Linked DNA regions of Sus scrofa. The main gene of each other region encodes a partner of the protein of the gene in region 2 in a complex. Links are inferred from orthologs where the notes say so. Each region holds a gene or a part of one and is shown on either strand. Other genes may lie near its edges.

The links. Proteins that work in one complex are often made in the same cells at the same time.
Region 1: the proteins of RHO (region 2) and GNAT3 are in contact, whole or in part, in a crystal structure (PDB 4A4M), measured with the Bos taurus proteins. The link is inferred for Sus scrofa from reciprocal best matches to the Homo sapiens genes RHO and GNAT3. Residues at the interface, in NP_001014890.1 of Bos taurus: Leu72, Arg135, Val138, Val139, Lys141, Thr229, Val230, Ala233, Thr242, Thr243, Lys245, Ala246, Glu249, Val250, Asn310, Lys311, Gln312; in NP_001103452.1 of Bos taurus: Ile344, Asn347, Leu348, Lys349, Asp350, Cys351, Gly352, Leu353, Phe354.

Annotation. Positions count from the first base shown.
Region 1 is NC_010451.4:99,857,630-99,861,379, forward strand, and holds the start of GNAT3 (guanine nucleotide-binding protein G(t) subunit alpha-3), read left to right. Parts: upstream 1-1,203; 5' UTR 1,204-2,202; coding exon 2,203-2,320; intron 2,321-3,750. UniProt on the Homo sapiens protein: Guanine nucleotide-binding protein (G protein) alpha subunit playing a prominent role in bitter and sweet taste transduction as well as in umami (monosodium glutamate, monopotassium glutamate, and inosine monophosphate) taste transduction.
Region 2 is NC_010455.5:68,907,477-68,911,226, reverse strand, and holds the start of RHO (rhodopsin), read right to left. Parts: upstream 2,650-3,750; coding exon 2,289-2,649; intron 549-2,288; coding exon 380-548; intron 1-379. UniProt on the Homo sapiens protein: Photoreceptor required for image-forming vision at low light intensity. Required for photoreceptor cell viability after birth.

The DNA.
Region 1 (3,750 bases), on a different chromosome or scaffold from region 2:
GAGAACATCTAAACTAGTAAGATTTTGTCCTCACTCTAGTGGAATTTACTATTTTACTTTCATCATTTTTTTTAGGCCCAGAAAGCCTAAGTGAAGCAACATGGATTAATAGGTGTATTATCAACCCCAACTCATTAGCAGAGCTGTGTCCCAGGTACCCAGGGGAGAGGGCTGAGAAAAAAGCCTTTCTCTTCTCCATGGCTCTCCCCAGCCTCCCTCCCCTAAATATAGATGCAGCTTGAATTTTAGTCACTGATGAAAAAAAAATCACATAATAATTTCACGAAATTGATGACTGCATATTCTGGGCTGAACAGAAAAGTGGAAATTTGTAATTTAATACAGTGCAGAAAATATACAATTCTACCCCTGAAAAAGTTGGTCAGTTTTTGTCAGTAACCCACTTAGGGAGTCTCAGTAAAATATGTACCCTTTCTAAGCCAGGGTATGTTCCCACTAAAAAGCTATGGGGTATATTTACTTGAATCAAATTATACAAAGTATCTTATCCATTCATAATTGCTATGAGACATACATGCGTCTTTTATATTCAGGGTACTCTGTGTTCAATTTTGATGTAAAAACAAAAATCAGAATAGTTTAATATTTGTATTCTTATGTGCTACTGTTAATGTGGACTCAGTCCTCATGCGTAAGCATAAATAAAGCAATCAATGCAAATCTTTGTTCCTTTGGAGCAGGCCCTTTGCATTGTAATAGCAACACTGCATGGTTTGCATGGACCCTCGCATACCTGCCTTTCCACATCTTTATACTATCATAACATGGCTTTAGAAGAATGAAATTCAGAAAGATTTGACTATGCTTATGTATTGGCAGCCTAATATTTTATGTGAAAAAGTAAACAAAGCAGGACTCTGTATTGAATTTGGCAACTTATTTCCTTGTTCTATGAATATGCAAAAGCCCACCTGTTCAGACTGCCCATGATCCCAAAAGAATGGCCCTGACATGCTGATGGACAGACGGTATTCTAGCATTTCCTGGTTAGGTACATTCACAATTCCCAAAATGTGCACTGAGAGATTTGCCTGCTTACCACATGTTCATAAGGAAAACAGCACTTGACTACTAAATGCTTTTTGATTAATATAAACAAAAAATTACACAGGAATCTCCATCCCCAAGCTCACAGACCTTTAGGAAGGACAAGACATCTCTTGGGGTGGTCTAAAGGCATGGACATATCTAGGTATATTTAAGGTTCTTACTTTTCAGGAAAAACCAAATGACCTACTGGTTTCAAAGACTATTGCTTTTTTTATTCCTTTGGTACTAAATCAATAGACGTCTTTATAGCATAGCAGCTGTTGCTTAATGGTCCCAAAGAGTTAATGCACTGCCTAAATTGAACACATTTCAGTGTCTACCCTGAGCAGGATCTCAATTAATGTTGATGGATTGACTTTCTCACATGCGTAAAAGCTCAATTTGTACAATTTAATCCTATGAGACTAAAGCAAATAATTTAAGAGCACTGTGTGTTGAATTCTATGTTTGGCAATACAACAATGTTTATAGATGTAAGAACTACATGTATTTGTTTCCATTTTTTCATAAAAAGGTATTTTCTAGTTAACTGAAAGAGGCTACGAGAGTGTCAAACACTTTGAGACATAATCTAAGCATAGCAAGACTATAAATTTGGCTGATTGAATATAAATATTCAGATAGTGACACTGGAGTAATTACAAAGAATTTGAAGACTGAAATATCTGAAGATAAGATGCAAACTTTGTTGATTATTAATAATATCTTTACATCATGTAATAAGGATTGCCTATGATAGATAGATAGATAGATAGATATAAGTGGGAAACACTCCATTTGAACTGCTCATTCAGATTTTGACAACTTTCTACACTATGTATGGTATGCTATTCTTTAAGGAAGATGAGCAGGTTGGAGGATGTCCCAGAAGTATCCATTTAATTTGAAAGCATAATGAATTTCCTCTTTACATGCCAACCATACAACTCTATGGTTGAATAGTTTTACCCTGTGATCAGGTGACAGCTTGGAAAGCATCTCCCTAGTCAAAGCAGTGTCTTAGGGAGTGAGGGAATGCGCTGTTGGTACTTCAGCAGAGCACTGCTCTTGCATCCTATGTCCAAACAAGAGCTGTGCTGTACATTTTAAAAAGTTTGAGCAAATAAACTGACAAGTATCTAACACTACAAGATGGGAAGCAGCATTAGTTCAGAAAGCAAAGAGTCTGCCAAGAGATCAAAAGAATTGGAGAAAAAGCTTCAGGAAGATGCTGAGCGAGATGCAAGAACTGTCAAGTTGCTGTTATTAGGTAATATCGTGTTTTTATTTTGCCTTTAAAACCCTGATTTGTTTCATCCATAATATTTTACTTTTCTCAAACTTTAACCGAAATACCATATGGAAGGTTTATTATGAAAATGTGTTTGGAACTTAACTAGACTTCATATGAACTCTATAAAGTTTGCTTTTGTTTAGGATTTTATTACATTTTTTTTAGTTAAGCAGAGAAAAATATTTATTAGATGACTCATTTCTCTATGTCAATCATCTATTATTATAAAAACTCATGGACTTTTCTTATTTTATCCTAGTCATTTCCTGGATATCAACTTTTTTAATATTGAAAACAATCACTTATTACACATTTTAAAGCTTTATGTCATTTTGTTTGAAAATATGTTGATTGGTATCAACACTAATGTTATTTAATTACTTATGCTATAATAACCATTAGTTTCAAGTTATTTATAGAGTAGTGGTTAAATACTTTATTTCACATTAATAATATCATTCAGGCTCCTGAACAGGCCTGTAATGTTGTCTGCATACGTGGAAAAAAAAAAAAAAACCCTCCATTTAAATCCTTTCAGGATACTTAAATATTCATTCAGATCAGGAGTTATGTCTCTTCTACCTTTTATTTCCTCCAAATTCAGTACAATATTTTACCACAACTATAAATTCCATAAGTGTTCAATGAATTGAAGGAATGAAAATAATCAATATGCCACACATTTTTCTAAATATACAAACAAATGTTAACGTGTCATGGTCACTAGAAGATAAATATATTTTTCAAATAAAGACCTATGAAAATAATACAAAAGCTTTAATTTATTCATAATTGTGTGTTCCTCCTGATCTTAGTTATACATAAAAGGACTTCATTTTATTTCGGAATTGTGAATCTTCCACATAACAAAATGCTCTCTTTTGTGTGTGTGTTTGTGTGTATGTGTGTGTGCATGTGTCCCTTTGCTGGGTCTAATTTGGTACCAGGGGCAAAAGTGACTCAGAAACTATGACATTCCTAGCACTTTCTCCTCCAAGGACAGGAAATGTTTTCTCCCTTTATGCCCAAGTTCCAAAGCCTCACACTTGCCCGCAGCACTTGCAAGTATCTACCTAGAGAGGCTGGTAACTTAGAGAGACATAGGAATCAACTCTCTTGAAACTAGCACATATACTTTCCCTAACCTCCAGAGTATTCTCTAAGGCTTTGGTCAAGAGTGAAAGTAATGTGGATATAGAGAAAGCAAATAAAACGTGAGAGGGAAAAAAAATCAAGCATTCATGCAAATGCATTCTGTGTCCCTCCTATACTAAGAACAATGGCATGTGAGCAGTGTTGGAATATATTAAAAATCCCTATGTCTGAATAAAATTTCAAAAGAATAGATATATTTTCAATATATCAAGTATTTTTAAAGTGGTGGGCTAGATCAAGAAGAAAGGGTT
Region 2 (3,750 bases):
GATGGCCTAGAAGCTGGACGGGACCAGTTCCCAGGGGCTATAGTGTCATACGTGCCCAAGGAATGTTCGCCCTTCCCAGGTGCTGAGACCTAAGGTCAGAAGGCACTAGACCAAAGAGGATTGGAACCTGGCCTGGCTTAGTTGAGGATTAGGGGCACAGCCAAGGTGAACAGTTGGGGCGTCTTGGAATCTCCTTGACATGGGGACTCAGAAGGTGGCACCAGCCCCATAGCAACATTAGGGGCTAACCCTCTCTTCCTCACCCTAAACCTCAACCCCATGACAGTTGCCAGCTCGGGGCCTAGAACCAGATGCCGCCTGGCTGGAGGGCCCTTTGAAGAGCACCAGGGACCCTGCCTTCCTTTCTCAGTACCATTACCTGGACCAGCCGACGAGAGGGGGCGCAGCGCAGGCCAGAGCCATGACCCAGGTGAGGGCCAGGCCCATGATGGCGTGGTTCTCCCCGAAGCGGAAGTTGCTCATAGGCTTACACACCACCACGTACCGTTCAATGGCCAGGACCACCAAGGACCACAGGGCGATTTCACCTGTAAGGCAGTCAGCTGTTGGTCAGCTCACCCCAGGCCTGGAGCTGCTTAAGGACAGAGAGCTCCTATTCCATGGAGAGAGGATGGTAAGAAAGGCAAGGTCCTTGAGTGGAGGGGCCCAGGGGTCCAGAGTAAGTCCTAGGAAGTTAATTTAGAGCTCTGGGTTCATGAGGGACACAAAAATCAGGTCACAGGGTCATGGCTGGACTGGGAGCTCTAAAGGGAGTTTTTATAGAGCAATGTGCCCTGCACATCTGAAGGGCACAGCAGAGGCATTGTTTCATGGAAGCTGGGGTTGGAAGGCCTCCCTTCCAGGGAAATGAAACAACCTGGGCATGTGGGACCCCTGCCTAGGAGCCAGGAAGCTGGATACAATTTTGCTCAGAGAAGAAGTAAGAAATGATGGAATTCAGGCACCTTCCTTGAACAACACCCCCCACCCCGCCCCCAACCCCAGAAACTCAAGAGAGAAGGTGGCCATAGCATTGGCCAACCACAATGGGACATTTCTGAGAGTCAGAGGGAACACCAGTGAGAATTCCAGGGCAGCAGTTTGGCAGAGGCGTGCCTGCCTATATGTGCCACTCTTCTGGCCTGAGATTGGGTGATGTGTGTCACTGAAGGTGACAAACACCCAGTGATGGCTACAATCCCTGGGAATGGGGATGAGGCAACATCCTGGATATATGCGGGAGGCAGAGCATCCCTGTGGCTGGCACTAGGCTCTCCCATCATCCTGGTCGTTTTGTAGTAACGACCTCCCGAGTCTCCTGCTTGCCTAACAGGCTTTGTGTCCCCAGTGGGACATTCCTGGAGCTAAGCCAGTAGACCAGGGCTCTGGTCACTGCCCTGCCACATCATCAGCTGAGTCTTCCTCTCTCCACACCCCAGTTTTCTCACCTACTTAATGGGTCTGAGGCACTCAGTTTTTCCATTAAAGAAAATACTTTAAAAGTACTGCCCAAAAGTTCCCATTGTGGCTCAGTAGTAATGAACTCAACTAGTATCCATAAGGATGCCAGTTCAATCCCTGGCTCCCTCAGTGGGTTAAGGATCTGGCATTGCCATGAGCTGCAGTGTAGGTTGCCAACATAGCTCGAATCTGGCATTGCTCTGGCTGTGGTGTAAGCCCACAGCCATTTTTACCCCTAGCCTGGGAACTTCCACATGCCTCTGGTGTGGACCTAAAAAGACAAATAAATAAAGTACCACCCGAAGCTACAGATAACCACACGGGTCTAAAGTCTCCCTACGGATGGCTCCGCATTCAACCATGACAGGCTGGAGGTGGGCTGTGACCAAGTCTGATAGATGCTGGGGTAGGGTCTGAGCCCATCGCCCAGTGCAGGCAAAGTCTAGACTGGAGGACTGGGAAGCCTCGTCCTGCCCAGGAGGGGAGTCCCATGCAGGGGTCTCTCCTGCCCAGCTCTATCCTTGTGCCTGGCATGGGTCTGACCCCACACAGCTCCTCCGGGGAGAAAGGGAACATGGCCTGAGGGGCTACAGAGACTTGAAACTCAGCTTTGCTGTTGCCACGATGTGACCCTAGCAAGGCCCTTGACTTGTCCCACCCTCAACAAATGGCAGCCTGGCTCAGATCACTGAAGTGTTTGTTGATTGAGGGCTTTGGATAATGGCCTGTCAGCCACTACCCCTAAGGCTGGGGCTGTGCCCAGATTCCTGTCATGCTCCTGGCTCCTTTTCCCCCTGCCCCCCCCCCCATGGCATCCCAGCTCATACCGCCCAGGGTGGCAAAGAATCCCTCCAAGTTGCATCCTGTGGGTCCGAAGACAAAGTATCCATGCAGAGAGGTGTAGAGGGTGGTGGTGAAGCCTCCGAAGACCATGAAGAGGTCAGCCACTGCCAGGTTGAGAAGGATGTAGTTGAGGGGTGTGCGCAGCTTCTTGTGCTGGACCGTGACGTAGAGCGTGAGGAAGTTGATGGGGAAGCCAAGCACAATCAGCATGAACATGTAGGCAGCCAGCATGGAGAACTGCCATGGCTCAGCCAGGTAGTACTGCGGATACTCAAAGGGGCTGCGCACCACGCCCGTCTTGTTGGAGAAAGGCACGTAGAAGTTTGGGCCCTCCGTCCCATTCATGGCTGCGGCCCCTTGTGGCTGCCTTGCAGCTGCTCCAACCCAAGGATGCTGCTGAGGCCTGAGCTCGGCCACGCAGGGCTCCGGCTAGACGACTCTGGGCTCTGACCGCCCCCCCCAGGCCATTATAAAGTGACCTCCCCTCCCTAAGCTCTGGGCTGAATCAGCACCTGGGAGATTGGGGGCGTTATTAATCATATTAATCCCCACGGCTGCAACTGGGGCCTAATTGGCTTCCAAGAGGGGCCAAGGTGACTTGAGGTGGAAGGCTGTGGGCAGGGAGAGGAGATGCTTGGGACCCTGGGAAAGGGCCGGAAGCCTGGCCCAACTCTCCTCTCCCTGAGGAATCTCTGCTGTCTCAGCCAGTGGCCTTGGCCTGGCATTGGGACCTCTGACTCCATGGCCACTTCCTTTTGGCTTAGTGCAAGCAAGCCTTATCTTCCTCCCAACTGCACCACGAGCTTTCAGAGGGCAGAGGCTCGGGTTATTCTGCTCTCAGCCCCTCACCTACTCCTTCCTGGCTCAGCCAGTCACCAGACACTGACCCTCACCCATCTGCCAGGTTATGAGCTTCGAAAGGGCAGGGGCCAGGTCCTGCCAGCTTTGACCTTCCCAATGCCAGACACATAGCTCGGCATCTCCCGGTAGCTCAATAAGCATTTATTGCATTGAACTGAAATTCCCTTGCTCACTCATTCAACAAACATCTATGTGTAGGCCACTGGGGACATGAAGCCTGAGGAAGGAGGAGGACTCCCATGGCAAGAACAGCCCCCATCCAGGGGTGGCGGTGGTCTACATGCAGGAAGTATCCAGGAAGGCAACATTTTGGGAAGGAGGCCCTCTGCCAGGTCACCAAGTAGGGATGGATAGCATTGACTAAAGACAAAGGCTGGCAGAGGCCTAGGGCCCAGCTGGCCTGGGGCCACACATGGGCTGGGGCCATTCTGGTAGAGCTTAGTGCCAGGGGCATTATCAGGCATGGTGGGCAGGTCTCAGGGACAGAGAGGTGGCTCAACAGTCCCCAAAGATGGACTGAAGGAGTGAAGATGGAAGAAGGGATGAAGGAGGGGGAAGTGACAGAAGTAGGGAGGAGTCAGAGGG